Tamandua tetradactyla: one gene and its partners. The protein of the gene in region 2 interacts with the protein of the main gene of each other region in a biochemical or structural test. Links are inferred from orthologs where the notes say so. Each region holds a gene or a part of one and is shown on either strand. Other genes may lie near its edges.

Region 1 (7,996 bases), on a different chromosome or scaffold from region 2:
ACCGATTCCAGAGTTTGGTATGGGTTACAGTTCCACAATTTTAGGTTCTTCCTTCTAGCTGCTCCAAGACACTGGGAGACTAAAAGAAATATCAATGTAATGATTCAGCAATCATACTCATTCTACCTTCTCTGTTAAAATTCCACCTTCTCCTTTGATCATTCTCCCAATCTTTAGGGGTATTTGGGCTATGCCCATTCTAAGTTTCTCATGTTGGAAAGGGGTGTTGATAATATGGGATAGGGGTATGGAACTAGTTGATGTTCTTGGAGAGGCTAGTTCCTCTGGGTTTTAGAACTTATCTGGCCTAGGAATCCCTCTGGAGGTTGTAGGTTTCTGAAAAGTATTCATAATGCATGGAATCTTTGTAGAATCTCCAATAAAGCCCTGGGTGATTTTTAGGGCTGGTAGGAATGGTTTTAGTTGGGGTTTGGCAAACCATGGTAAATAACAATATCTAGGTGAAGCTTGTGTAAGAGTAACCTCCAGAATAGCCTCTTGACTCTATCTGAACTCTCTCAGCCACTGATACCTTATTTTGTTACAACTCTTTTCCCCCTTTTGGTCATGAACCCTACCATTTATTTTTTAACTATGACCAATTGCTTTTATTTTTAATTACTAATAGCAGTGCAACTTACTGATATTTATAAATAATGGTAAATGAATTGTACTAAATTAAATCTTCCATTTTAATTTTGGGGCACTTTACATGCTCTATGGTTTTGTGGTTCCACTTCTCACAATAAGCATTAAACACCAGGGCAAAGCTCTCCAGCAGACTCCTCCCCACCAAATTCAAAGGAACAAAACAAACTTTCCTTTAACAGTCATTTTAAAATCACAAAAGATTACACTTGTTTCTGGATTTCAAACCCATGGGACTAAATGGTACCAAACTGTAGCATCCTGCCATATTTCTTTTTAAAGAAATTATACCCAATCCTCAAGGCCCCATCCAAAAACTTCCTTTTTCACTAAAGCTTTCACTGAACTCCCAACTGTTATTCTCCTCTGAACTCCAAATGCACTTTACATGAGTTTAAATAAATATGACCATGTTTTTTGTTCTATTCATGTTCTTGTTTTATTTTTCAAACTAGATCACACATTCACAAAGTATAGGGTATACTGGAAATAACATTTTCAGATGAGGAAAGGGATCCAGAGAAGCAAAGTGGCCTGCCCAAGATCTTATAGCCAGCTGGACTCTACATATAAACTCCACATAACCTGGCCCAGCCCAAGGTTATTTTATACATCCTGAGCTTCCTGAGGGTAGGGTCATGACTCGCACATTCACAGATGGGTTACTTAAATTGGTTAGAATGAACAGTCTTAAAGTCTCCACTTCCTTGAAAGTTCAGACTTTCATCAAAAGTACAAACATCAGTAAATGCAAACAAATACTGTTGAGTATCTTGCCAATGCTAAGGAATAAAACTGGAACTGTTACATAATAAGATTTCCAAGAGTTACATTGGGTTGCACTAGGATTATAAAAACATGGCCTTTCTCAATTTTTCAAATCGATCAGTTATGAGAATATCAGCAGTAATATGTGCTGCTTCTTTCTTAGCAGCATAAGTCTTCATCGTCTTAGTTGTTTGAATTTATGCAATACTGACATTTTGAGTCATTTTCTAAGAATTAATGATTGAAACTGAAAATAATCACTATATTTATCTTCATACTGAAAAACTGATTGCCATTCTTACCTAACAAAAATCTTGTGATTTACAAAAATCCCTCATTGACCTAAATATAACATTTAGAATGATAAAACTAAGTAGCCAGAGTTCTGACTGTTCCAACACTATAATTTAGAACAGGGACTAGCATTACACACAAAAATTAAATATTGGTTGGAATCCCGATATCGTACAAAAAAAATGTTAGTAGAAGAATTTTTTTACTTGCTTTTAGAGAATAGCAAAGCACATTCAATCAATAGGTAGGATTAAAAAGAATGTTCTTTCCACCGCATGGGCCATGATCTAGTTTCTCCCTTAGCAGCCGATCAGAAGAGCACAATGCTACTTCTTTTACTGTTAAATCAGTCAAATTCCTCCCCTGCCTTAGGAAATCAACGAGCCCATTTTACCTGTCAATGTATTAAAGGACAGAAGTATTCTGAGTTAAAACAATTACAAACCTTAGTATCGTAGTACAGAATATCCATTTCAATTATAATTTCTTTCTCCTGGAGGAAATGAAACATTTTTAACCTTCCATAAACAATCTGTAAAAGCCTGACAAGTTTCATGTTCCCGGGCACTCAAATCCATTTTAAAAGCTGAAGTGATACAACAGTATTTTTTTTTTTTTTTTTGAGTGAGACTATACTTACTTTTCACTAGATTTAGAATAACTTCTTCTCTTTTACTGTTTTCTCTTGACCTTCCACCCTGGTCACGACAGACAGACACGCGGGACTCATGCGTGGGGGTGGGCGGAAGAGAGCGCAGGCTGACAGTTCGCCGGCTGCCACCGGCACCGCAGGCTCTGCCCGGCAGAGCGGCTCCTCGGAGGCCCAAGGCCTGGAGGCTCTCCCTGCAGGCCAGGCGCGGGTTCCCGGGGCAAGGATCGGTTCCGACCATCGCCAGAGGCGGGTTCGGCCCGCACAGGCCGGCTCCGGCCTTCGGTTTGCCAGCCTGCAGCAGCCCCTGGACCCAAGCTAGCGGGGACCGCGTAGACCGGCGGCCACAACCCCATAGACTAGGGCTTGGGAGGAGAGGAAGCTGAACCCGCTATACCGCCCCAGACCTACCTGCAGGGGAGAGCGGGACTCCTGGACAGCGGCCACGGGCCCGTGGCGGGCACCGAGGCTGCCGGAGCGCGTTGCGGGGCCCCAAATATCCCGGGAGGAAAAGAGGGAGCAGACAAGGAGAGGCGGGCAGCACCCGTCGCGAAGTCGCGGGCACCTGGTTTTCCGCTCAGCACCAGGCCACTAGCGCCACCACCACCGTCGCCATTTTGCCTTCCACTCCGTCGCCGCCGCCGCAGGTTTCCCGGATGTGGGCATTTCCCGGCGTCGCTTGCGCGGTCAGGTCTGGCGGGATCTCGCTGGCAGGCACCCTAGAGCCAGACTCCACTGGAGCGAGCGCGATGCCGGTGGACCCCGGTCCGGTCTTCAGGTTCCCAGGACTCGGGTCCCCGACCAAACCCTTAAGACCCGGTGACCCCGGATCCCTAGACCTTCTGACCTTGGGAACCAGCACCCGGGCCCTATGGACCTCCGATCCCGGGCCCTACCCCTGAGCCCGGGTCCTGGATGAGTCTTCCTGGACCCGGAACTCCAGATTTCGGCCGGCGCCTCTCTGCTGCAAGTCAGTGAGCTTCGCCCATGTGGCGCCTGCCTTTTTCGGTCCAATGATTCGCCCCGTTTGTGGGACAAGGCCCTTCCCCCGCCCATGCCTACCCCTTTCTATTTCGATCTTTCTCTTTTATCTGTAGAGTTCTTTCTATGGATCGGTCTTCAGGAGCTTAATTCTCTGAAGAAGGAAACAGCAGTGAGTTGCATTCTGAAACCTCGCTGTGGACATCAGATTCAGGATTTCTAGAGGCTTTGATTTGTTTATCATACTTTACCCTTAATACACCTTTGAGCTTCAAGAATATGTATTTTCTGAAATCAGCCAAATAATACCTTCCTTGATCACGGCAAATTGTTGAACAGCTTTTAGATCTTTGTCCACCATTTAGATAGAAAGAGAGGTAATATTGCTATAATTAGAATAAGAGTGAGGGATGTGAGTTTTATTTCCTGTTAAGTTGAATTGAAAGTTTGGAATAGGATCAGTGGGTGTCTTAGTTTGCCAATCTATTTGGGTTATTTAGAGAAACAGAACCAAAATGAAATATCTATAAATATGAAATTTTATAAAAGTGTTTCATGCACCTGTGAGACATGCATGAGTCCAAATTCCATAGGGCCAGTTGATAACAGGCCACTCCGACAAAGCCTCTGGAGAGGCTTGCTGAAGAAATGAAGGTTCTCTCTTCTCCCTTAAAAATCTTCAACTGATTGCTTTAAATTAAAAGGCTTCAACTGATTGGATTTTCTCATTGTGGAAGATACTCCTTTAGTTGATTGTAGGTGTAATCAGCCACAGATGCAGTCAACTGACTGATGATTTAATAAACCAGTCTTTTGGTTTATAAACCAGCCAGGAAATGTTTTTGAATAATGGTTAGGCCAGTACTTGCTTGACCACACAACTGGGCACCATCACCTGACCAAGTCCGCACATGAACCACAACCAGGCTGCTATGACAAATACCACACAATGTGTTGGCTTAGCAACAGGAATTTATTGGCTCACAGTTTGTAAGGCTAGAAGTCCACACTCAAGGCAGGAGCAAGACCATGCTTTCTTTTCCCAAATTGTGTAGTTGCCACAATCCTTGGGGTTCCTTGACTTGCATCTCTGCCTCCTGTCACGTGATGATCTCTCCTTGTGTCTGCTCCTTGGGTTTCTGCTGACTGCTAGCTTCTGGCTCCTGGCTGCTCTATGACCTTCTCTGAGCTTCTCTAACTTCTCTTTATAAAGCTTCTAGTAATATGGATTAAGGCCCACCCTGTGTCAGTTCCTCACACCTTAATTAAAATAACATCTTAAAGTTTTGTTTACAATGTGTTCACAGCTACAGGAATGTAGACTAAGATGAAGAACTTGTATATGGTTGCGGTACATAATTCAGGCTTAATAGTCACTGGGTTTGTGATGTTTGGAGGCACTGTCCACCCTTTGTGAACAAAGCCTTGCCAGTTCCAGCCCTAGAAAATATATACAAATAGCATTTTCAAATATCTCCTTTGTTCCTTTTTCTGTTAGAGTAAAATTTTTGTTTTAAGAAAATAAGCTAGCATATGACCCAGCAATTCCACTTCTTGGTATATACTCCTGTGTCAGTTTGCTATGCTGCAATATATACCAGAAATGGGTTGACATTTACAATGAGGATTTATTAATTTACAATTTACAGTTCTTAGGTCATGAAAATATCCCAATTACGGCAGAAAACATCCCAGTTAACGCAGAGCACAGGTATCTCTGTGCTGCCAGCATCTGAGACACCTCTGTCAGATGGGAAGGCACATGGCCAGTGTCCCAGGTTTCGTTGCCTTCAGGTCTGGTTCTAGTGGCTTCCTCTGTGGGTCCTCTTAGGTCCTCTGGGGGTTTTTCTCTCCAAGCTCTGAGTGTTTCTCTATGAGATCCCTGGGCTTTTTCTTTTTCTGTCTTTTATCCTGTCACAAAGAACTCTAGTAAAAGGATCAAGACCCACCTTGAATGGGGTGTGTCACATCTCAATTGAAATAACCTAACAAAAAGGTCCCACCCACAATAGGTCCATACCTACAAGAATGGATTAAAAGACATGGTCTTTTCTGTGGTACGTAAGAGCTTCAAACCAGCACAATCCCAAAAACTGGAAGTATCTGACTTGAACAGATACTTGTACACTAAAGTTCATAGTAGGGTTATCCCCAAAGGTAGCCAAAAGGTGGATGTGTCCATCAACAGATGAATGGATAAACAAAATGTATATACATATAATGGGATCTTTTTCAACTGTAAAAAGTAATGAAATTCTGATATGTGCTATATGTGCTAGAACACAGGTGAACCCTGAAGACATTGAGTGAAATAAGCCAGACACAAAAAGACAAATATTGTATGATCCTACTTATATACAATACCTAAAAGAAGCAAATTTTATAGAGACAGATAATAGATTATAGATTACCAGGGGGTAGGGAGGGGAAGAGAGAGTTATTGCTTAATGAGAGCAGAGGTTCTGTTTGAGGTGTTTAAAAAGTTGGGGTAATGAATATTGGTGATAGTAACACAATATTGTGAATGTTACTACTGAATTGCACCTCTGAAAGTGGTTAAAATGGGAAATGTTGAGTTGTACATATATTACTGCAATAAAATATTCAGATACACAATCCTGAGTAAGACAAGCAGGTATGTGAATATATTAGTTCATATAATTCATATAATTTTAGGGCCGAAAGGAACCTAAATGTTATTTAATCCTCCATTTGAAGAAAATAACACCTAGGGCTATTAAGTGGCCCACCTCCGGTCATATCCCCTAACTTTCACAGATTGGAACTTAATCTTTTATTTTAAAAGCATTTTTTCATTTGAATTTCTGGATACAGTCGCCACTAGTTACTTTAACATCAGGAAAAGAAGTCTAATTTTTTTTTTAGCTTTTCATTGTAGCAACATACATAACTCAAAATTTCCCATTTTAACTACTTTCAGGTGTGTTATTCGGTAGATTAGTAGCAATCACAATATTGTGGTACCATCACCAGTATACATCTGTAAGATCCTATTGCCCCCAGAGTCTTGTCACCTCTGTCACCAATCTAAGAATCTTCTTCACTTAAACTCCTTGGTTTTCTTTAAGCCTAAAGGAGCCTATATTTGTAAACCATTGTCCTTAGAAAAATTTTTAGATAATTCAAGGAGTGCAGTGCATTGCCCTGTGTGGGACTATGAGAAGATTTACTACTATGAAGTAGTAGGGGAGAAGATCAGGGAAAGGAGACAAGGAATGATCAGGAGAGAAGGTACAACTGACAAGATGGAAAGTGGCTGTAACTGTGCAGCATGAAAGGGATGCTGGACATGTAAGAATGGCAAAGACTGACATTGCATTTGAAGGTTTTTCTTTTGCTGTTATAGAAAACCCTTCAATGTTTTATGGGGGGTGGTTGTGGTTTCATTTTGTCATTAGCAATAGATAATGGGGGCCAAATTTATGCTTGGGTGCTTGTACCAAGGAAGAGGTAGCCCACATCTATGAAGTGTGGAGACCAATGTGGTCCTGAGCATATCAACCTTCCCCAACTCATACGATCTAAGGGAAGGATTTGGAATCACACAGGTTGTGGAAATCAAGGTCAGAAGAGTAGGGTCCCATCACATTATACATCAGATGTCTTAATTTGTGCAAGTGTAGTCAAGGTTTCCAGTTCTTTGTTAGACAATTGATTCCTGTGATTTTTCTTGTTCATTTTCTCAAGACTTGTCTCAAATAGGATGACCCCTCATCTAGAATCCTGAGTAACAGAAATAATGTGCTAAATTGATCATCAGGATTTTATTAATCTCTTTTCTCAAATGAAGTGATAAGGGACATGCCCATAAATCATTCTCATAAAGCCTCCAAAGATTAAAGACAGTAGGTAGACAGATACTCCAAATAGCAGCTTTCTGCTAATCTCTCTTCTGAACTGTAAGCTCCCTGAAGGTAGAAAGAGTTGTACTGTACATTGCTATATTCTAGCTCCAGGCACTGCCTGACATATGGTAGATGTGCAATATATATTTAACTAAAATATGAAATAGGTTTTTAAAATTTATTTTTGGTTGTGGTAAAATACATGTTACAATCATTTTAACCATTTTAAGTGGACAATTCTTTGACATTAAGTACACTGATGATACTGTATAACTTTCACCACTATTTCAAACACACTATTATCATCATCATAAACCAAAACTCATACTCATTTAGCAATAACTCCCCATCCCCCTCCCTGCCACGCCTTGGAACCACTGTTCCACCTTCTGTCTCTATGAGTTTATCCTAAATATTTAATATAAGCGAGATCATACAATATTTGTCCTTTTGAGCCTGGATTATTTCATTCAACCTGATTTCTCCAAATTCATCAGTATTGTACCATGCACTTCACTTCTTTTCACGGCTCAATAATATTGCACTGTGTGGATATACCACATTTTATTTATCCATTAATCTGTTGATAGACATTTGGGTTGTTTCCAACTTTTGGCAATTGTGAATAATGCTGCAATGAACATCAGTGTGCAAATATCTGCCCAAGTACCAGCTTTCATGAAATAGGTTTTTAAGCACTTATACACAGCAAGTGAGGAAAGCAAGACATAAGTACAGGCTGTCTGAAACCCGTGCCTACATTCTTAATCACTTCTTGCATTGCTCCTCC
Region 2 (7,101 bases):
ACAGGGTCAGTGTTTCTGGTCCCCGTCGGATCTGCACTGCCAGCTGGGATTGGGTTCGAACAGCTTCATAAACATCTTCAGCATTTTGTACTAGCTGTTCCCCAATGGCCAAGATTACATCACCCGGCCGCAGACCAGCCCTAGGGAGAAAGATGGAGAGAGAAAAGGGAGGGAGTGTGCAGCCCCATCCAAGGGCAGCCCCACAGCTCACCCACCCTCCCCTCCTGGCACAGCCTCTCCCTCACCGGTGTGCAGGGGAGCCCAGGATGACTTTATGGATGAGGACGCCATGCTGAACATCAGGAAAGCTTGGCTCTCGAAGCTGTAGTTCAGCCAGAATGCTATAAGGATACAGGTCACTGTGTTATCCACATGCTGCACCCTCCCCCTCTGGGTTCACCGCATGTCTCTCATCAACACACTGACAGTCATACAGACAGGACACAGGCCAGGTACCACAGATACAAAGGCAGGTCACTTTCTGCCTTCTAGCAGTTAGGAAAGCTAATATGTACATAAAAGATAACTAGTTCCAAATGACACACAGTGTTAAATCATTGACATTAATGTCATTCTTAAGTCCTAAGAGACTTAAGGGGAGAGCAAGACTAAGACTAAGGGGAGAGCAAGACTTGAGCTGAGCCTTGAAGGACGGGTCTGATATTTAACCATACAAAGTAAGAAAAGTACAAATAAAAACATGGGAGCAGGAAACCAGGTTGGCTGCAATAGAGTATTCATACAGAAAGTAACAGGAGCTAAGTCTGGAAGGCTGAAATAAGACAGATGGAAAATGGCCTTTAAACACCAGGTTAATGGATCAAATGCTTTAAATCAAAGCAGGAGCAGGACAAAAACAATACAGTGGCAGCAGTACAAATGAAGCAGGATGAGAAAGTCAAGGTGATGAGAGGGACAGCTGTTCTGATAGCTCCAAATGTGAGGTGGCTTAGATAAAAGGCAGCAATGAGGAACAAGGCCCAGTAGGGGTGCCCCTAGCCCAATACTGATTACACCGGTGGTCCTCCCTGTCACTATCCCTAACACTCCTACCTGGGAGTCAGAGTCAGCATCATCACCCCAATGTAGCGGCGCTGGGACCCACTGATTTCAAACCAGGAATCTATGATAGAAGGACAAATGAGTCACAACGAAACCCAGCTATCTTTCCTACCCCCTCTCTCCTCCCAACTGACGCCTCTCAATCAAGTCCCAATAAAAGCCCCTCCTTATGCTCTGCCCACCACTTAAAGGAATCTCCTTCCCCACTAAAGCAGGCTCACTCTTCTTTTCCCCACGATGCAGAAATTCTCGAAGGCGATCAGAAGGGATGGCAAAGGAGATTCCAGCTGTGACCTTCATGGTGTTCACCCCAATCACCTCCCCATCCTGTAGGGACACAGGCCCTGATCCATAGCCCCCCAAAATAGTCCAGGTTGGGGGGACACTGGACCAAGGGTAGCAGGGAATGTTGGGGAGATCTGCTTGGATCCTGGGAGGCAGCACACAAGAAACTTAACCAAACATCCTTGAATTAGGGAAAACCCACCCTCCCCACACTGACCTGGGACAGGCATTCTAAGAAGATGTCCAACTCACCAGGTTAACCAGGGGACCTCCAGAGTTTCCAAACTGCAGGACAAGGAGAAAACATGAAAGAGATCCTGGGACCCTGAGCCTGGGGGCATAACCAGGATGTAGACACTCTCTCCAAATTTTATCCTTTCCTAGCCCATAAATGAGTGGCAACATTCTTGCAGCCCAGTCCCTGAATCTGAACCACAGTCTCCCCACCTCCAACCCAGTTTCTCCTTTCTCTCGCATGAGAACCCACGTCAATAGCTGCATCAGTCTGGATGTATTCCACATTGGTTTGGGGGAGTCCCAGGTCTCTGGCTGGGCGCTGAGCAGAGCTGACAATGCCCGATGTGATCGTGTTCTGCAGTGCAAAGGGACTTCCCATGGCGACAACAAACTCCCCTTGCCGAACCTCGGCTGAGCGGCCCAGGGGCAGCGTGGGGAGAGGTTCCTACCGCAGAAGGGGCCAGAGAGAACTGTCAGCTGGAGAAGCAACCAAATCCAAAGTTCCAGACAGTCTCCCACCTTGAGAGGGTCCCAATTCGACCCCCACCTTGGTCTGAATCCTGAGCGTGGCGATGTCCGCCACGGGGTCCACAGCTGTGACCATAGCCTCATACGTGTCACCACTGGGCAGTCTCACACGGACCCGACGTCTATCAGCCACTACATGGGCGTTGGTAACGATGAGCCCATCCGCAGCCACCACGAATCCTGAGCCGTTTGAGATAGGGACCTCGCGGCCAGAGAAAGGGTGCCTAGGATGGGGGTGCAGCACATATGTGAGGAGGCTTTGACCCCTCCTGCCTGTCCACCCCTCCGGGGCCTCCCGGTCTACCCCACCGTTACCGGCCCAAGATCTCGATATAGACAACGGCAGGTGCCGTCTTCTCCACCACATCTGCAATGAAGTTATACTGGCTCCGGGGAGAAGTGGGAGGCGGGCCAGGGACCGCAGCTAAGACCGCCTGGGGGCCTCGCCCCCCGCTCCATAACAACAACAACACCGCTCCCCCGGCCCCCAGCGCCACCGCCAGCCACACGCGCGGGCGTGTTCCGGGGGTCTCTGAGGCCTTCTGGGGATCGGGAGTCCCGGCGGTCAGCCGCACGCGGGATTCCGGAGCCCCCGAAGTCAAACATGCCCAAGGTCCAGGGTCCCCAGCCGACGACGGGGCCGGGGGATTGAGACGCTCATACGTCAGTCGGGCCCGAACGTCGGGAGTTCCTGACGTCAGCAAGGCCCGGAGGTCAGGGGTCAACACGGGTCCCGTTCCCCAGCGAGTACCCCCCAAAGCCCGCCATCTCCAGAGGCTCTGGCCCACACCGCGCCCCGCCCTCAGCGCAGCCATGAGCTCCGCCTCGGCTGTCTCCTGACCGCCCGGCTCAGAGGCGGTGCCCTGGACGCGAGCAAGCGGACAGCGGGACGCGGGGCACGCCGGTACCTGAAGTCCTCCAGAAATGCGCGCCAGTACCCAGCGGCCAGGAGGCCGGCTCCGCCCCCACCCCGCGAATGCCGGGAACTGTGGTCCCCGCGGGGCGCGAGTTCTGAGGTGGCCAAGGAGGCCGCGGGGCATGCTGGAACCGCTAGCCCTTCCGGGGCGACTCGATCCGATTTCGGGTCCCGGCACCCTGGGCCGAGGCCCAAAGGCCCCGCCTTCCCAGGAGCCCCTGCGGCCGGGCACGAAGATGGCGGCGGCGGCGGTGGCCGGGCACCCCTAAAGCAGCAGTGATGGAGCCTCCCTCAGCACCGGGGCCGGAGCGGCTCTTTGACTCGCACCGGTAAGAACCCCAGCGGGAAGTAGACGGCTTGCGCCTCCTCTCGGCCCTCGACGCCCGCTCAGCCCGCCTTTCGTCCTCAGGCTCCCGGGTGACGGCTTCTTGCTCCTCGCACTGCTGCTCTACGCACCAGTAGGGTTCTGCCTCCTTGTCCTGCGCCTCTTTCTCGGCATCCACGTCTTCCTGGTCAGCTGCGCGCTGCCAGACAGCGTCCTCCGCAGGTTCCGACCCGGGCGCTCGGGGAGGGTCAGGGCTGGGCCCGGCCTGAGGCCGCGCAGTCACCACCGCCTGTGTCCCCAGGTTCGTGGTGCGGACCATGTGTGCGGTGTTGGGGCTGGTAGTCCGGCAGGAGGACTCCGGACTCCGGGATCATCGCGTCAGGGTGCTCATTTCCAACCACGTGACACCTTTCGACCACAACATAGTTAACCTGCTCACGACCTGTAGCACCGTGAGTGTGTGTAGGGGGGGAACGAAGCCGCGAGTCTCCCAGAGCGGTTCCCCGGGGCCCAAAGCTCCCCTCGGCCGCTCCACCTGCTGGCTCTAGTTTCCCCTGGGAACCACGAGATACTGAACTTTACCCCAACCCCGCTTCTCTACCCCTCTTGTCAGTTTTCATCATTCTTCTCCATTCTTGCTTTCTTCTCTGTTCCCAGCCTCTGCTCAATAGTCCCCCCAGTTTTGTGTGCTGGTCTCGGGGCTTCATGGAGATGGATGGGCAGGGGGAGTTGGTGGAGTCACTCAGAAGATACTGTGCTTCCACGAGGGTTCCCCCCATCCCTCTGCTGCTCTTCCCTGAGGAGGAGGCCACCAATGGCCGTGAGGGGCTCCTACGATTCAGGTGGGTAAGCACAGATATTGGGCTTCAGCTGGGTAGATGGTCAGATTTGGGGCCCCTTGGATTTTCGCAACTTTTTCTTCTTCATCCCTTCCCTCTCCCATCTCTAGTTTATTTCCTTTCTGTCCACTTTTAGTTCCGTCCCCTGAATCCCTTTATACCCCACTTTATCTAGTCATATGGTTTGACAGTTTTCCTTTTTAAGTTACATATAAGCTGCTGACTAGGCTGATTGGATGCCCATCCTTCTCTCTCATTTCTCTTTTAGTTCCTGGCCATTTTCTATCCAGGATGTGGTACAACCTCTTGCCCTGCAAGTTCAGAGACCCCTGGTCTCTGTGGTGAGTGTTTGTTGGACAGAGAATCTCTGGGGCTTGGAGGGGAACTTTTCCACCCGTGGCCCTGGCTTAGGCCTCACATCATACCCTCCCTCAGACGGTGTCAGATGCCTCCTGGGTCTCAGAACTGCTGTGGTCACTTTTCGTCCCTTTCACGGTGTATCAAGTAAGGTACTAACCGTCCTCACTTTTTGGTGGCTGGGGAGAAGCTCACCTCAAGGTCAAGGAAGTAGCTGGCTCTGCCCTGTCCATTTGCAGATCTTTTAATATCAAGGTTCCACCACAGAGGCAACACAAAGTATTTACTATCTACCCCCCTCACCACCACTGTTCCATGAAAAGAGGTACCAAGAGTAGGGAGGAGATGACAGCCTTACCCCGGGTGCCCCCAGCATGGCCCTGGATTGTTTGTTTTATTTTTACAGGTGGCTCCGTCCTCTTCATCGTCAGCTGGGGGAGGGGAATGAGGAGTTTGCCCTCCGTGTGCAACAGGTGGTAGGGTCTCTCTGGGGGAGGGGGAGGAAAGTTTGAGGCCTCAGATTCTAACACTTTCAAACTTCCAATTCTCCTAGTTGGTGGCAAAGGAATTGGGCCAGACAGGTACCCGGCTCACTCCAGCAGACAAAGCAGAGCACATGAAGCGACAAAGACATCCCCGATTACGCCCCCAGTCAGGTGTGTGGACTCTATACACAGAGCTTTTTTTTTTTTTTTTAGACCTTCTGTAATTTCTGCCCTATTCCTGTCCTAGTCAGCCTCTCCTTCCTCCTAGTTTTCCACTCATCATGTTTCTGATTTATTTTTTGCAGTCCAGTCTTCTTTCCCTCCCTCCCCTGGCCCTTCTCCTGATGCGCAACTGGCAACTCTGGCTCAGAGAGTCAAGGAAGTTTTGCCCCATGTGCCACTGGGTGTCATCCAGAGAGACCTGGGTATGGGAAAGGGTAGCCTCACATGGGGAAACAGGCAGAGAGAAGAAAAGTGGGTTGTGAGGGGAGAAGGTAAACAGGGAACAGATTCCCCTCTTCTCTCTTCCCTTCTCCCCAGCCAGGACTGGCTGTGTGGACTTGACCATCACTAATCTGCTTGAGGGGGCCGTGGCCTTCATGCCTGAAGACATCACTGAGGGGACCCAGTCCCTTCCCACAGCCTCTGCTCCCAAGGTGAGACCAAGGAGACGAGGGTCAGGTCTGAGACTGGGAGTAGGGTGGAGCAGTCTACATACTCCCTAGCCCTGAAGTCTCTTTTTTTATCCTGAGACCCTAGCACGGTGCCTCTCTTGCAAAGTAGGCACTTGATGCGCATTTAATGATGATGACTTCGCAAGCCCTCTGACATTGTGATCACCTCAGTTCCCCAGCTCTAGCCCGGTGACCCCTCAGCCCACAGCCCTAACATTTGCCAAGTCCTCCTGGGCCCGGCAGGAGAGCTTGCAGGAGCGCAAGCAGGCATTGTATGAATACGCGAGAAGGTAAGGGATATAGAAGACAATGGATAGGAAGGGGTGGGTTGAAGATAGGAATTATGGAGCTAAGATGGCAAAGCCCATATGATGTCTTCTCTCTGTGTCCCCCAGGAGATTCACAGAGAGACGGGCCCAGGAGGCTGACTGAGCGCAGAGGAACAGGATGGCACCCAGAGCCGCAGGGCGGAATCTGGGGGCAGCCCTCACCCAACTCACAACAGGCCATATGGTTGGGTGGTATAAAGGGAGGGATGGGGCTCCCCCAATGTCACATTAAATTCAGGGTTTTCACTCAAGGTCTCTGTTGCTTCTCTGAGTCTGAAAAGCCCCCTGAGCAGGTTCCTTTTCCCTTGGTTGGGGGGCCATAGGGTGAGGGCCTCCTTGTGAGTTTATGGGGGCTAGTCAGAATGGAATTGTCTGAAATCACCTCCTCGCTACCAGGAGATGAGTGGTTTTATGGAACTGTAACTGAACTGAAGACCCAGCAACAACTGGACCCTAGCTTGTGTGTTTAGCCCAGGTTTGGGGGCTGGGGGAGTGAGGGGAGATCAGCGGCAGAAGAACTCCAAGGCCCAGGATGCCTTTCACTAGCACAATGCACGTCATCCATAGAGCTTACATGTACTCAGTGTGGTAGCTGAAGACTGTTTTCTATAGGCTCCTTACTAGGTTAAATAAGGTGGAGCAAATGGCCCCACCCCAAAACCATACATGAGGATTCGTGTCTGAGAGGAGTCCCGGGGTGGAGCCGGAATTTACCTTTGTACTTCTCGTGAGTCAAGGTTGGTAGTGACTGCTTGGGTGGGTCTGGAACTGGCTGCCATCCTGATCTTCTCAGAGCTACAAACAGGTTTGAATTCAGGATCCTATGGCCCTGCTGCCCCAATTACTTCCTCCCCTACCCATATCCTTTATCCCTTTTCCCTGGGGACCTTGCCACAGGTTACAGATCTCATAATTCCTGCTGCCCTTGAGGACACCTGCAGTAGTCACAAGATTTCTATTGCCTGGCTACAGGGTAATAGTCCACTTTCGATAGACCTTACTTGAACACTCTAATACCCAGCATTGTTTCTTGGCAGGCCTGGAATACCGGGCAGGATGAACCC
Region 3 (7,300 bases), on a different chromosome or scaffold from region 2:
TGCTGCCCTCCCGAGCCCTCCTGGGCCCAGCCCTGGCTTGTGGCTGAGAGCCCTGGGGGAGCGGGCCAGGCAGACGGGGCCTCCCTGCTGCCCCCTCCCTGCCCACCAGAAAGGTCAGCAGCTCCAATTTCGGGCCAGGCTCTTGGCACCAGGGCCCTGAGCACGGGGCCTGCCTGTTAACACATGTGCTAGGCCAAGGCCCACACCATGGGTGCTGGGGAGTGCCTGGGTGCCAGCAGCCCTGGGAAGCCTGGCCAAGCTTTAGGGAGGCACTGGCAGAATGGATGGTGAGGGTGCATCAGGACTGCAGGGAGAGGGGGCTGGCAGCAGTCCCTGCCTTGAGCCAGGGTCCCTATCCAATCCAGCACCCCAAGTGATGCCAGGGGATTCCCCAACACCCCTCCAGCCCTGCCCAGCCCCTGGCTGGCCACGCACAAGTCTGTGAAGTCATCCAGGGTCTCATCAGGAGTAAACACATCCAGCAGGCCGATTACCTGGGGGAAGAGGGGTGGGCAGGGGGACTGAGGTGTGTGGACAGCAGGGGCTGTGGCGTGGTGCTCCCCAACCCAATCCCTTCCCCACCTCTACCCCGCTGGCACTGGCTCCAGGCCGGACCCCCCGCACTGTCCCTGTCTCCCCACACTGCCCACTCACCAAGCAGCCCCGGCCGGGACACACGTGCCCACAGCCTCGGGCTATTTCTGGATGGTGACAGCCGGGATGTGCGGGGGTGGGGGTGGGGGTGGGAAAGTCAAGTCTGGCTGGCTCCAGGCCAAGCACAACAGGGTCAGCCCTTGGTCCTGCCTCCCCTTCTTGCTCTGCCCATGGACACTGGGACCCAGGGTGGGGCAGCCCTCAGGTTGTGAGCACTGCAGTCCTTCCCCAGGCTGAGACCCACAGCCCGCCGGCCCCACGGGGCCCCTGGTTGGGGAGGCGATGGAAGACAGGTAACCTGGGGCCAGGGCGGCCTGCTCGTGAGGATGGTGCCTACCAAGGTTGCAGGGCAGGTGGGGTGCAGAGGCCCAGCGGGCCCTGGGGAGCCTGCCATGTGCTAGAGTAACACAGGGGAGGCAGGTGGCTGGGTCAGGAGCAGGGAGGACCTCCAGTCCAGGTAACCCTAAAAGTGGCCCTGGAAAGCCCTTAAGCAGGGGCGGGACCCTCACCACCTCCTCAGGCCACTGTGCAGGATAGACCACATGAGGCAGGTGTAGACAGTGACCCCGCAGCCGCCAGGTCCAGTGTGGGGGGGGGAGGGTGGAATGCTAGGTCTCTGGTGTGCTGGGGGCTGTCAGAAAGGGACCACCTCCAGTGCAGGAGTCCCAGAGGGGACTTTGAGACCGCTGGAGGCTGCAGACCTAGATGTGCAGCCATCGAGGGTTCCAGCTGAGGAGGGCCTGGGGGGAGGGGAGCCCAGAGCCCACAAAGGCCCCCTTGGTCCACACAGAGCAAGCAGCAGGGAGGGAGGGGGTTGTAGGCGAGTAGAACAGAGCAGGTGGGCTGCGCGGCTATGGGAAGGATGCCCTAGGGAGAGGGCCAGGTGCCCAAAGGGCTGGTGGGATTGCTGGCTCAGTGGATGGCATGTCCACTGTGCCGGCCTGGGAGGGGCCGAACGGAGAGTCCGAGTCGGGTCGGGAAGGGTGCTGGTGAAGCTGGCCAGGACAGGAGTTAGGGTGCCTCCTCCTCACCCAGCCCAGGGTTTCACGGACGGGGGGGGGGGGGGGGGGGAGGCAGCCCCCATGAAGATCACGTCCCAGATGTGGCTCAGGGCAGAGGCTGAGTGCCCCAGGGCACAGGGTGGAGACAGAAGTCCCAGAGAACAAGTATTTGGCTGGAGAGCGGGCAGTGGCCAGAACCAAGGGCCCAGGTGCACTGATGTACATAGCGACCAGCCAAAGCTCACAGTGCTCAGCTCTCAGCCCGGAACTTAAGGCAGGGGTGTGGGGGGGTTTCCCTGGGGAGTCCGGACCTGTCCACCCCCCACCCTGTCCATGAAACCCTGGACTGGGTGAGGAGGAGGCACCCCAACCCCTGCCCTGGCCAGCATCCTGGGCGCCCCTCCTGAGTGGGACCCCAGGCTCTGCAGGGGGCTGGGACAGGTGCAGTCCCACTTGGAGAAGGAGGAACTATGAGGCAGGCGGAACAGAGGGGCCTGGGGAGGCTGAAGGGAAGTCTGGGGGGCCCTTCCAGGAAAAGTGCTGTGCCCAACTCCTCTCACCACGGTTCCCGGAATGGAGGCAGGATTTGGGGGCAAACCTGGAAGGCCAACTGAGCCCAGACCCGTCACAGCGGCGGTGGCAGGGGGCTGCCGCGAAAGGGAATCCATGCAGGCTCTACCCCAAACAAGGAGGCCTAGGCGTGGGGGAAAACGGTGTACGCCAGAAAGGTCCCTAGTCTGCCAATGTCTCCTGGGCCCCCACCTACACCCACCCCACAGGAAGGCCGGGGGGAGGGCCGGCCTTCCCGCAGGCGGCACTCCGGGGGGCGGGGCGAGCTGGGCGGGGCCGGGTGCGACCCCCCCGACTCACGTTCTCGTGGCGCATGTGCTTGAGGAGGCGCAGCTCGCGGTAGGCGCGCTTGGCGAACAGCTCCGACTGGAAGGGCCGGTACAGCTTCTTGATGGCCACCCTGGCGCCGGTGCGGCTGTCCACGGCCGAGCTGCGGGGTGGGCGGCTCAGCCTCGGCCGGGCCTCTCGCCCCCGCCCCGCCCCGCGCCGCGCCCGCGCTCACCACACCGCGCCATAGGCGCCGGAGCCCACGGGCTGCAGGTCGCGGTACTCGGCGCGCACCTCCCACTCGGTCTTGGTCACCTCCTGGCGGTAAAAGCCCTTGCGGGTGGGCGGCGGGGAGGTCATCGCTGCCCGGACGCCGGGCGCCGCGCTCCCGGAACCGGGGCCCGGCGGCCCTCTGCTGTCCCCTTTGGGGTCGCCGCCCTCCGGGCTCCCGCACCGCCGACTCCGGCCCGACCCCTGCCCGGCTCCTGCCGCGCTGCCCCACCCCGGCCCGCGACCAACCCGCCCCGGGGCCCGGCGCACGTGACGGCCCGCCCTGCGGAAACCCGAGGCGATGGGGGATGGCCCAGCCCCGGCCCCGCGAGGAGGCGGCGCGGCGGGACACTCGGAAAGCCGCTGGCTCCGCACTGGGCTGGCGCCCCGGATGCCCGGGTCCCCAGGGGCCGCAGCGCTCTGGTCTCCTCTTTACTGCCCACACCCAGTGCGCCGCCGGGCCTATGCTGCCCAACTTCTGTCCCCAACTCCTGGTCACTGTCCTGAGCCTCCCAGACCCAGCCCCCTACCCCCACCCTGAATCTCCTGGCAGGGGGTCTCCACCGCACCCCCTAGGATGCCCTACCCCCAGGCGGGTCCACCCATCTGCGATTAGGTCTTGCCTGCAGCCCCCCTAACATATGCGGGATTGGTTCTGTCTCCCAGACTTCTCAGGTGGCCACCCCAGTGTCCATCCTTCAACCCCTGTCCCCAAGCCTCCCATCCCCCCTCGGCCCTTCTGCACCCTGGCTCCCACTCCTCCCTCCACCTCTTCCCCCATCCCAAGGCCACTGTTAGTCCCTTTGCCTGCTCCCCCCACACACACCTGCCCCCTGCTTGTCCTATCTGTCCAACCTGGCTTCTCTCCCTCCCTGAAGGCTTGCCCAAGCCCCAGGGGTGGGGGGCCTCTCAGGCCCTGACCTCTCAGTGTAGGCATAGTCCTGTCATGGGTCTGGGTGCTCCTGAGGATGGAGCCTGGGGGTCCCCTCAAAGCTGATTGGTGGTGGGTGGCAGGATCCCAAGTGCCCCCTTCCCTGCCTTTTGGGGCCCCGCCTGCCAACCGTGAATCAGCAGCTCAGCAGCCTTGGGCATGGCCAGACCAGCTTTACACCTGGCCTTGGGGTCGGTGACCCTGGCACATGCACAGCCAGCTGATGGCAAGAGCAGCCCACAGCCAGCCCAGCCAGGAGCATGGCACATGCCACCCACAAAGCCACCTGCACCCCATGCCCTGGGCTGAGTGGGGTACTCTGCCTCCAGGAAGCCCCCCTGGCTTACTCCCTGGGGTGGAGCCCAGGGTTCCAGCACTCATAGGGGCCCTTGCTCCTTCAGACCAGGGCCCCTTCCCCCGCCCCACCCCTACTGGCCTTGGCCAGCCATGTCTCTAGAGCTTCCCAGGTACCTAAAGCCCTGCAGCCTTGGTGCCTAGGCCTATAGGATCCTGCCTACAGCCCCCCAGGTGGGAGCTGCAAAAAGCAGTGGGAGTAGGCTCAGGTGAGAGTGGCCTGCAGAGTTCAAGGTTGAAAGCAGCCTTCTTTTCTCTACACCACCCCCACCCCCCGGAGTCTGCATTAGCCAGAAGGGAAAGGCCTGGCCCCCAGGAGAGGAAGCATTTGCCTCTAGCGGTGCCCCAGCTGTTCTCTCACCAGGCTGCATGACTGCCTGGTATCCTGTGGGCCAGGCCAGGGTGGGTGCAGCCCATGGTGAGCCCCCCAGAGGTGGAGACAGCAAAGGCAGGGGGCCTAGCATGTCGGACACTGGTGGGGCATGAGGGAAGCCCTTTATTGAGCGCCCCTGTGTACAGGCACTTCACATCCAGTCCCCCCTAGGTACCCCCAGGGTAGGAGGTTACCACCCAGTCTCCAGGCAGGGGCCTACCCACAGAGGATGCTCGGTCAGTTCTATTGTGGGAGGAGGGGGACAAGGCGACCCCAGAACCCCAGCTGAAGGGCCATGAGGGTAGGGGAGGTAGAGGGCCGGCAAGGCTTCTTCATCAGCTCTGTCCAAAGTCCATGGGCCGGGGCATTCATGTGAAGGTCACGTCCATGTGTGCACCTGTGTGCTCTGCCCAACCTGGTGGCTTGAGATTGCAGCACAGATACGGGCCCTCCCTTGCCTCAGCTCCTTGGCTGCAATGCTCCCTTGCTCAGCAATCTGCTGTGGTTCTATGCACCCACAAAGGAAAGCCCTGGCATCTGCTCAAGTGGGTGCCCTCGGCCCAAGGAGCCCTTCATGGGTACCCAGCATGTGGGGAGGTGCAGAGCAACCCAACTCTGGCCTCTTCCTGGTCATGGGCTCCTAGCACCCACAGATTCACATGTGCCCAGACAGCACAGGTGAACACACGGGCCCCAGCTTTTCTGACGTGAAGCCTGTAGTGTCCCAGCCTGGCCAGCCACCAGGGAAACCCTGCCCAGCCTGGGGGGCACAGGTGGTCTCAGCACTCCCGGGGCAGACCCCCTTTGGCCTGAGCAGCTCTGATCCCTGGAACCATCCCTTTGAGTCCAGGGGGTCCTGGCGAACTCCCACTGTACACAGAGAACAGGGCACAGACAGACACCAGCCTGGGGGGCAGCCCCATGGTATGCAAATCCCCCATTGTGAAATCCAGAGGGAGACCCAGATGGCTGGGGGCGGGGGTGAAGGACACGGGCACATACTTGTTGCCGACACATGTGTGTGCAGGACCCCCTGGGCACGGTGAGCAGGCAAGTAGGCCCCAGGCCAGGTATGTGGGCTGCTGGGCCAGGGCTGCAGGGTGGCACCCGTCACAGAGTCCCAGGATGAGCAGGGTGCAGGCTTAGGCCCCTCTAGCAGTGTGGAGGTGGCAGGTGGGCTCCCCTTACTGCTCAATCTCCAGGCTCTTGGGTGGCTGTGGGGGGTCTGGGGGTTTGAAGCTGAGGACTTCCTGGTAGGTGAGCTCTGGGGGGCAATGGGGAAAGGATCAGCACAGACGGCCCAGTCTAGGCCCAGTGCGGTGCCTGCTCCCCTCGCTGCCCAGCTCTGCCTGTCCCAGCCTCCACCCCTGCGCACCCTTCCACTCTTCCACTGAGCGCTCAGCAGCCTCCGCGCTCTCATCGTAGGGTTCGGCCTCAGGCTCATCCTCGGGGTCGTGGTACTGGCTGAAGTAGGCATGGGCCAGGGCCTCGGCCGCGCTGAGCCGCTGCTCACTGTCCAGCACCAGCATCCTTCCCAGGAGGTCCACAGCTGTGGGCCGCGGGAGGGTCAGCCCCGCCTCCGGCCAGTGGAGGGCCCCACCCAGTCCCGGTCCATCCTCACCCAGGGGGTTGGCTCCGTGGAAGAGGCTCCCGAGGTCCTTCTGGGGCATGGAGGGCAGGGACTGGATGTATGTCCGGGCCTGGGGGCACATGGGGGAGGGCCTGAGGGGACCACACACCCTCTACCGCAGGCCCCGGACAGAGCAGGGACTCCAGAGAAGACCCCAGACCCAGGCACTACCCAGCCCTGGCTGGCACAGGGGCAGCCAGAGACCTGCCCCTTAACCCCTCTGACCGTAGCCCCTCACCTAACCCTCCTGTCCCCTCCTCCACCCCACTGCCCCTGGCCAAACCACTGCTACCAGTGTCAGGACTGTGCCCTCGCTGTGTCCCCTGCCCTGCCGTATCCCTTAAAGGGGCAGGGCACCTGCCTTGGCTCCTCTGGCAGTGCCCTGCACTCCCCATACAGAGCCTGCTTCCCATGGTGTCCCCCAGAGTGCCCGGGGCCTTAGTCCGCAGAGGGCGGGGGGGGAGGGGGCACCCACTCACGTGTTCCGAGGATATCTTGGCCAGAACCTCGGGGCTGGGGGTCCCCACCACCTCCATGATGCGTTTTAGCTGGTCGATGTCTGCCTCGGCTCAGGAAACACCCACTGGCCAGCAGGGGCCTGCCCAAGCCCCCCAGGGCAGAAGCCATGGGTGCTGCCCAGAGCCTGCTCCTCTCCCCGGCCAATGAGCCAGGGGGAACAGCCAGACAGGGAGGGCCTGAGACTGCCTGTCGCCCTGCCCACCCACAACTGGGAGGTCCTGGCTCCAACACCCCCCAACCCCTGCGGGGCCAAGGATACAGTCGTTTCCTGGAAAGAGGGCCTTTCCCTGCAGCAGCTCGGCCATGATGCAGCCCACCGACCAGATGTCGACTGTGGGGGTCAGGGCACAGGCTGCCATCAGTCTTGGCCCCCCTCCTCCCGGGGCGGCAGCCCGGTGACCCTCACCCACAATGGGGCTCAACCTGGTGTGGGAAGGCCCACTGGAGCCTCCCCCCTCAACGCAGAGGGCCCCCTGTAGGTCTGTTTGTGCATGCTGACCCCAGCCCTGCCTCACCCCATCACCGGGAAGGACCCCCTGGGGTGCATGGCCACCCTCCCCAGGCCATGGCCCCCACAGGACATGGATGCCCCACGCAGGCCCCACGGCCACCTGTCTGGTTGTAGTGCATCCAGTTGAGCATGATTTCTGGGGCCCGGTACCAGCGCGTGGCCACATAGCCAGTCATCTCCTCATCCGCCTGGCGGGCGAGCCCGAAGTCCAGGATCTGGG
Region 4 (7,624 bases), on a different chromosome or scaffold from region 2:
ATAACAGCAAGATAGATGAAAGTTTCCTTAAATAATAAGAAATTAAATGACTTTTTTCTAAATAACCCATGGATCAAAATACAAAATCAAAGGATTTTGGAGGATATAGCTAAAGCAGTGCTAAGGGAATTTTTTAACAGGCAAGGATGACTTTATTCATAGTCACTAAGGGAAGGAAGAAGGGTAGAATTCAACTCTGAGGAAGGCATGGAGGTGCTTGAGTTTTATAGTTGAGTTAAGGGCAGTGAGAAAGTACCAGGGTGCCATCTGGGAAAGAAGAGAGAAGGAGGGCAGGACAGGGTTGATAATTCTGAATAACCAGTACTTGATATTCTCTTTTCTTTTTTTTCTACAGCTGGAGGTTTTGTTTGTTTGTTTTGCATTATTTTGTTGCTAAGGGAATCTTATAGCATCAAATACTTATGCCAGGAGAGAGATAGCTCCCTAATCAGTGACATAAGCATCATCTTAAGAAACCAGAAAAAGAAGAATATATTAAGGCCAAAACACTCAGAAGAAGTTAAGTAATAGAGATAAAACCAGATACCTATGAAACATAAAACCAATTGAGAAAATCAATGACATCAAATGGTACTTCTTTGAAAAGGTCAATAAAATCAATTCTAGACACTGATCAAAGACAAAAAAGAGAAAGATGGCACAAACTGCCAATATCAGAAATGAGAGAAAAGATACCACTACAGACCCTACGTGAATTAAATAGATAAGGGAATGTTAAGAACAATTTCACATCAATTAATTTGACAATATGGATGAAACAGACAAACTCCTTGAAAAACACAAACAACCAAAGCTCACACAGGAAGAAATAGACAACATGAATAGGTCTACATTTATTAAAGAAATTGAACACATCATTTTAAAATTTCCCACAGAAAAGCAAAGGCCTTGATGGCTTTACAGAGAAATCAAATCAGTATTTTAAAAAATAAATAACATCAACTCTACAGAAATTTTCCCAGAAAATATGAGGAGGGAACACTGCCCAACTCACTTTAAGGTGCCACCATTACCTTGATATCAAAATCAGACAAAGGCATTATAAAAGAAGGAAAAAAATTATACCTTATAAATATAAACTTAAAAATTCTTAATAAAATTTTAGCAAACCAAATCCAGCAACACATTAAAAAAATGACTGATCAAAGGAGGTTCATTCCAGGACTGCAATGTTAGCTTAACTTTCAAATCAAGGCAATCCACCATACTGAAAGATTAAAGCAAAAACCATGATCATCTCAAAGGACATAGAAAAAGCATTTGACACTATACTCATTCATGCCAAAATTAAAGATAGAAATGAATTTACTCAAACTAACAAAGAGCACCTTCAAAAAGACCTATGCCTGGCATCATACTGACACTTTCCCCTAAAATCACGAAAAGGGCATAGAAGCCTCTTACCACTTCTATTCAAAATTGTACTGAGGTTCTAACAGTGAATTAAGAAAATTTTTAAAAGTAAAAGCCACAAAGATTATTTTTTAAAATAATGCTTTATCATCTATGTAGAAATAACAAGGACTCTACAAAAAAAAAATCTTATTAGTTAACAAGGTCTAGGAGAAAAGATCTTTATATAGGAGATCATGTAAGTGAAAATAGCTGAGTAGAGAGCTTTAAAGACCCATCACTCCAAAGAAATATAGAGAAATGAAGCAAAACCTATCAGTTCAACTTTATTAGAATTCTTAAAAATAGTCAAAGGTTTAAAGCAACCAAGTAAATCAAGAAAAAGGCAACTTACAAATGGTTGGAAGACTTTGAGCATCTTACTTGCCCTTGCTTTACTCCACTTCCCAGCTGGGCAATGGTCTTGAAAATGACAGTTCATGTTCCCAGCATGGACCCTGGTCCCTGGTTCCAGAAGAAGAAAAGCAGATCTTATTCTCAAAAAAGTGTACTTGTCCTTTTTGACCTGTCTGGGAGCTTCCTGAAGTTCTGATACAAGGTGCTTGCCTTTGTTTCACCTAACAAGGAAATCTTTCAGGGCAGAAAAGTGACAACGCAGAGGACAATTCCCCCCAAAATTGTAAGTCAAATGAAAAATTCACTGCCATCTGGGACAAAAGAGTCCAGTTGAGGCAAAGGATAAGCAGGCCAAAAAGATGGGAGAGAAAATTGGGGCTAGAGAAGAGTTTCATTGGGAAATTAGAGCATAGAAAAGTGACCATACATACTAAGGAATTTACAAAGTCATGAGCATACCTAAGAAAGATGAATGCTCCAAAAAACAAAATACTTAAGACTAAGCTTTCACCTTTGCTGACTTCTAGGTTCAGTTAATTCAAAATGGATCATATATCTACAAGTTAAATAAAAAACTACAAAACTTCCAGAACAGAAAATCTAAGTGACCTGGTGTTTGGTGATGACTTTTAAGGTACACCACAAAAGCCATGTTCCATGAAAGAAAAAACTGATAAGCTGGACTATATTAAAATTTAAAGCTTCTGCTCTTCCAAAGACACTGTTAATAGAATGAAAAGACAAGCACAGGGTGAGAGAAAATCTCTGCAAAACACATATCTGAAAAGCACTTGTATCTAAAATACATAAAAACTCTTAAAACTCAGCAACAATTTTTAAAAACAATTCTAAAAAGGACAAAAGATCTGAGTGGATACCTCACCAAAGATGATACTGTTAAGAGAGAGCTGTCCTGCTGGTGTTGGGGCAAAGAATTAAAACAAGTCAAGGTGGGAAGATGGAGAGGTAGAAGTACTAGGAATCAGTCCCTCCACCAGAACAATGATCAAACAAGCCAGAACTGTTTGAATCAGCTAGAATACTGTACAGTATCCAGGAAAGAATAAGAGGAAGAAGCTGGAAAATTACAGTAAATACCTGTAAACGAGTCTCTCCACACAGTGGTTACCATCACCCATCACCCACTCTAGCAACATGCAACAGTCGGGTCCAGGCCCTTATGTAGCCTGCTGGTACCAGGGAAGGACAAAAATATCCACTGCCCCGAAGGTCTGTGCGAAGGTGGAACATGGGCCAATCACCAATAGCTGCTTTTGATGATCTATTTTGGATCACTAGGGCCCTGGCCCTGAGGGTGACCATTGTTCCAACCTGCCCCAGACAAAGGCCACAGAGGAAACTTAAGACAGTATGCTTCCTCAGAGCTCTAGAGGACAGCTGAAAGGCTGCATTTACTGGGCAGGGGCCCAGTCAATAGAGTGAAGCATAGGGGAGCCTTGTAAGAAGTTCCTGGCACCTTCCCTGGACCCTCTTTTAACCCTCCCCAGGGCAGTCTGTAGCTGGCAAGCTCACCATATGGGTTCCTGGCCTTATTCTGGCTGGGAAAGACTGACTTGGGAAAATCCTCCCTAGTGTCCCTGCCTCACCCCCACCCAGAATTTGGCTGCCAGGCAAAAGCAGCTTGAGACAATAAAAGTTCTGTAGGAAACAATTGAGTCAGAAGGCCTGGGCAAAGGATTACCTGTTTTAAGTCCAGCAGTACAATACACACAAGAGGATAAAGATCTGTTTTCTGGGAGGTACAAGAGCCATTCAAAGTCCTATAAAAAGGGGAAATCCAAAGGCCTCCAGGAAGCACAAGCCCAGGACAAGATACAGGCCCAGAAAAAGACAAGAAGGGCCCTGCACTTTGCATTCACCTTGGGCTGAACTTCGTGATATGTGAGTGCAGCTCTGATGAAGAACCAAACAACTCCAAGTCGGTTTGCAAAGACAGTGAAAAGTGCTTTTTGCTTACGTTTGCTCCATATTGTTACCTCTTGACACTCAAGAAAATCTCCATCATATCACCACCTGGTTACATACTCAAGAAACAGACATTTCAGGGAAAAAATCCCAGACTTAACATTTTAAAATATTAAAATATACAGTGCGCAACAAAACATTACATGACAAACAGAGACAAAGGAAATGACAGCCCATCCAAAAGAAGAGGATAAAAATCCAGAAAATATCAATGAAGAAAACCAGATTGTGGATATACTATAAAAACAGTATTTAAAAAATGATCTTCAATATGCTCAGGAGATGAAGGAAAATATTGAGAAAGAATTAAAGAATATCAGTATGCTGGTATGAAGCTACTGTGTATCCTGGAAAAGTCATGTTTTAATCCTGATTCAATCTTGTGGAGGAAGCCCTTTATTTTAATCTTGATTCAGTACTGTAGGGCTGAAACTTTTGATCAGATTATCTCCACAGAGATGTGGCATGCCCAAAAGGTCTATCAAAAGGTGTGACCTTTTAAGTAGGTGGAGTTGTGACTCTACCCATTCAAAGTGGGTCTGATTTGTTTACTAGAGGTCTTTAAAGGGGGTAATATTTCAAAGGACAGTTACTTCAGGACACAGATGTTTAGAGATGCTTGGAGTACCCATACACCTCCCTAGCTGACAGAGGTGTTCCATATCCATCAGCCTTCCTTGGATTAAGGTATCTTTGTCTGGATGCTTTAGTTTGTACATTTTTAAAGGCTTACAAGTATAAAATTATATGCTTAGAACTGTAAATTTGCAACTTATTAAATTTTCTTTTTAAAAGCCATTCCATTCCTGGCATATTGCATTCTAGCAGCTTAACAAGCTAATACAATCAGAAAAATGATGAACAAATAATATGAGAACCTCAGTAAAAAGAGAGAAGTTTTTAAAAGGAAACAAACAAGATAACTGGAGTTGAGAAGCAGAAAGGAAAAAGAATTATAAAAAGTGACAAAACCTAAGACATCTGTGGGACGCCATCAAGCATACCAATAAATACATCATGAAAGTCCCAGGAGAAGGAAAAAAAAAAAGAAAGAAAGAAGCAGGTGGAATATTCAAACAAATAATGACAGAAAAATTCCCAAACTTAATATGCACATCCAAGAAACCACCCCCCCAAAAAAAAACACAACACAGGATAAACATGAAGAAAAATAGGTCCCATCAAACTGTTAAATGCAAAAGACAAAGAAAAAGTTCTGAAGGCTGCAAGAGAAGAGCAGTGTATGCACAAGGAAACTTCAAGTAGATTAATTGCCAATTTCTCATTAGGAACCATGGAGGCAAAAAGGCACTGGGTCAAAATAATTAAAGTGCTGAAAGAAAATAACTGTCAATCAAGAATCTGATATGTGGCAAGACTTTCAAAAATGAGGGAGAGAGAAACAAAAGCTGAGGTAGTTCATCACCCCTAGACCTGCACTACAAGCAGTGTTAAAGGTTGTTCTTCAGGCTGGGAGGAAAGGACGGTAGACAACAGTTCAAAGCATTTGGGTGAATATAAACGCCAGTAATATTGTATTTTATTTTTTGGTAAGCAACTCCACTTCTTACTTCCCACAGTAGCTAACATACAAAGGCATAAAAAGTAATGGAAAATCTTAGTAAAAAAAAAAATAATTTTTACTACAATGTAAAAAGATATGATTCATAACCAGTACAAAAAAAAGGGAGGGGGACAGAGGGAGGGTGTAGGAATGGCATAGTAGTATACTACTGAAGTCAAGTTGCTATCAAATAAAATATGATTATTATATATTTCCGATGTTAGATTGTAACCCCATGGTAGCCACAAGGAAAATATATCCTTATACAAAAGAGAAGGGACTTAAAATGTTACAATAAAAAATACAATACAAAAAATAAATAAATAAATATTAAAGTAGACATTAACAGAAGAATTGAGGGACAAAAAAACAAATAAACCTTACAACAACTAAATGGCAGAAAAAAATTCTGAATTCTCAGGAGTGATTTTAAATGTAAACAGATTAAACACTCTAGTCAAAAGGCAGAAAATGACAGAAAAGATTTTTTAAAAACGTGACCCAACTATTTGCCATTTACAAGAGACTCACCTTAAGTTCATAGACATAAGTAAGTAGAAAGTGAAATAGTATACAATGGAAAAAGTATACAACGCAAGTAGGAACCAGAAGAGAGTTGAGGTAGTTCTACTAATATTAGATAAAACTGACTTTACATCAAAAACTGAGACACATATGCTAATTCACACTAATAAAGGGGACAATTCATAAGATATAGCAATTGCAAATATATATGCACCTAATAGAAAAGCCCCAAAATATATGAGGAAAATACTGATAGATCTGAAAGGAAGAATGAATATACACTTCCACATTAATAGTAGATCTAAATACACATTTTCACTAATGGTTAGAACATCTAGACAAATGATCAATAAGGAAATACAATACTGGAATGACACCCTAGATGTTATACACATATATAGAACAGTTCACCCAACAACAGTAGAGTACACATAATCCTCAAATGCAGATGAATCATTCTCCAGTGTAGACCACATCTTAGGTCATAAAATAAGTCTCAAAATGTTTCAATATTTCAAAAATATTGAAATCAGACAATGTACCTTCTCAAAGCACAATGGAATGAAACTAGAAATCAATAACAGAAGGTAAAATGGAATATTTAAAAATATGTGGAAATAAAGCAACTTAACCAATGAACTAAATAGAAAATTATAAAGGAAATTACCAAACATCTTCAGACAAATGAAAATTAAAGTACATTATACAAAAACTTAAGGGATGTAGCAAAGGGAGAGCTAAGAGTGAAAATTATACCTCTAAATATTTGTATTTTAAAAGAAGAAATATTTCAAATCAGGATGACCTAATCTCAAAACTGAAAAAAAAAAAATAGAAAAATAAAAGCATACTAAACCTAAAGCAAGCAGAATAAAAGAAATAAAAATTAAGGCAGACATAAAAAGAAACAGAGAACAAAAACCAACAAAGATTATCAACAAAATTAAAAATTGGTTCTTTGAAAAGATCAATAAAATTAACTAACCTTTTGCTAGACTGACAAAAGAAAAAAGAAAGAGGAAGCAAAGAATTAAAATCGGAAATGAAAAGGAGGTGGACTCTCCACCAACCCTGCTGTAACAAAAGGACTATCAGGGAATACTGTGAATAAATTAGATAACCTAGATGAAATAGACAAATTCCTAGAAACACACAAACTATCTACACTGATTAAGAAGAAATAGAGTAATCCAGACAAATTTCCTCATTTGCAGATGAGGGTTTGAGGTCCGGCTTAAGGGATGTTCGCCAAACCACCCAGTGGGTAAGAACTAGATCTGGGATGTGAACCAAGGTTTATTTAAACATCTACCCAGTCCGGGAAAACAAATGTAGCATTATTCTGTATCCTATAGGATAGCCAGAGACAGAACAGGGCAAAACACATTGACTGCTTTATTCCAACTCCTAGCATTTCCAAAATCTGCATGCTGGCTGCTCTCCCTCTGAGAGTTCTTTTAACTGGCAATTCTTGTCTAGAACACTGGAAAGTCAAGTATAGACTTTCAAGAAAGGGTTAGAGGATTATTACCTTAATCAACTTGACAATACTCCTCAAAAGACCTTCCTTCCTTTTCATGAGAATGAAACGGAGGCTAGTAAAAAATTGGAAATGACCCAGGATTCCTGAAATTAGGGATATGGTTCAATAAATGATGGTACATTAAGAACATAGAATACTAGGCAGTTGTTAAAATGATAACTATGAAGACTATAGAAATGAAAAAAATGCTATAAATATAAGAAATAAGAGAAAGAAATAAGTAATTTGAACAACCA

What was found. The genes of interacting proteins can lie anywhere in the genome.
Region 1: the proteins of HTRA2 (region 2) and LATS1 form a complex in vitro, tested with the Homo sapiens proteins (2 studies listed by BioGRID, with this or other methods). The link is inferred for Tamandua tetradactyla from reciprocal best matches to the Homo sapiens genes HTRA2 and LATS1.
Region 3: of the proteins of HTRA2 (region 2) and MAPK12, one has a biochemical effect on the other in vitro, tested with the Homo sapiens proteins (2 studies listed by BioGRID and IntAct, with this or other methods). The link is inferred for Tamandua tetradactyla from reciprocal best matches to the Homo sapiens genes HTRA2 and MAPK12.
Region 4: of the proteins of HTRA2 (region 2) and CSN2, one has a biochemical effect on the other in vitro, tested with the Homo sapiens proteins (2 studies listed by BioGRID). The link is inferred for Tamandua tetradactyla from reciprocal best matches to the Homo sapiens genes HTRA2 and CSN2.

The regions. Positions count from the first base shown.
Region 1 is NC_135328.1:141,250,556-141,258,551, forward strand, and holds the start of LATS1 (serine/threonine-protein kinase LATS1), read right to left. Parts: upstream 3,002-7,996; 5' UTR 2,771-3,001; exon of another isoform or gene 2,455-2,770; intron 1-2,454. UniProt on the Homo sapiens protein: Negative regulator of YAP1 in the Hippo signaling pathway that plays a pivotal role in organ size control and tumor suppression by restricting proliferation and promoting apoptosis.
Region 2 is NC_135343.1:48,419,255-48,426,355, reverse strand, and holds the start of HTRA2 (serine protease HTRA2, mitochondrial), read right to left. Parts: upstream 3,001-7,101; 5' UTR 2,928-3,000; coding exon 2,428-2,927; intron 2,337-2,427; coding exon 2,132-2,336; intron 2,030-2,131; coding exon 1,835-2,029; intron 1,633-1,834; coding exon 1,600-1,632; intron 1,390-1,599; coding exon 1,284-1,389; intron 1,124-1,283; coding exon 1,054-1,123; intron 342-1,053; coding exon 246-341; intron 141-245; coding exon 1-140. Other genes in the region: lipid droplet-regulating VLDL assembly factor AUP1, read left to right, coding at 3,308-3,357, 3,438-3,575, 3,655-3,805, 4,011-4,195, 4,461-4,533, 4,628-4,701, 4,956-5,022, 5,103-5,205 and 4 more.
Region 3 is NC_135333.1:45,615,232-45,622,531, forward strand, and holds the start of MAPK12 (mitogen-activated protein kinase 12), read right to left. Parts: upstream 3,002-7,300; 5' UTR 2,853-3,001; coding exon 2,728-2,852; intron 2,656-2,727; coding exon 2,526-2,655; intron 495-2,525; coding exon 436-494; intron 1-435. Other genes in the region: MAPK11 (mitogen-activated protein kinase 11), read right to left, coding at 5,076-5,684, 5,796-5,969, 6,530-6,609, 6,829-6,900, 7,181-7,295. UniProt on the Homo sapiens protein: Serine/threonine kinase which acts as an essential component of the MAP kinase signal transduction pathway.
Region 4 is NC_135345.1:71,316,514-71,324,137, forward strand, and holds the start of CSN2 (beta-casein), read right to left. Parts: upstream 3,002-7,624; 5' UTR 2,869-3,001; intron 1,879-2,868; 5' UTR 1,769-1,878; intron 1-1,768. UniProt on the Homo sapiens protein: Important role in determination of the surface properties of the casein micelles.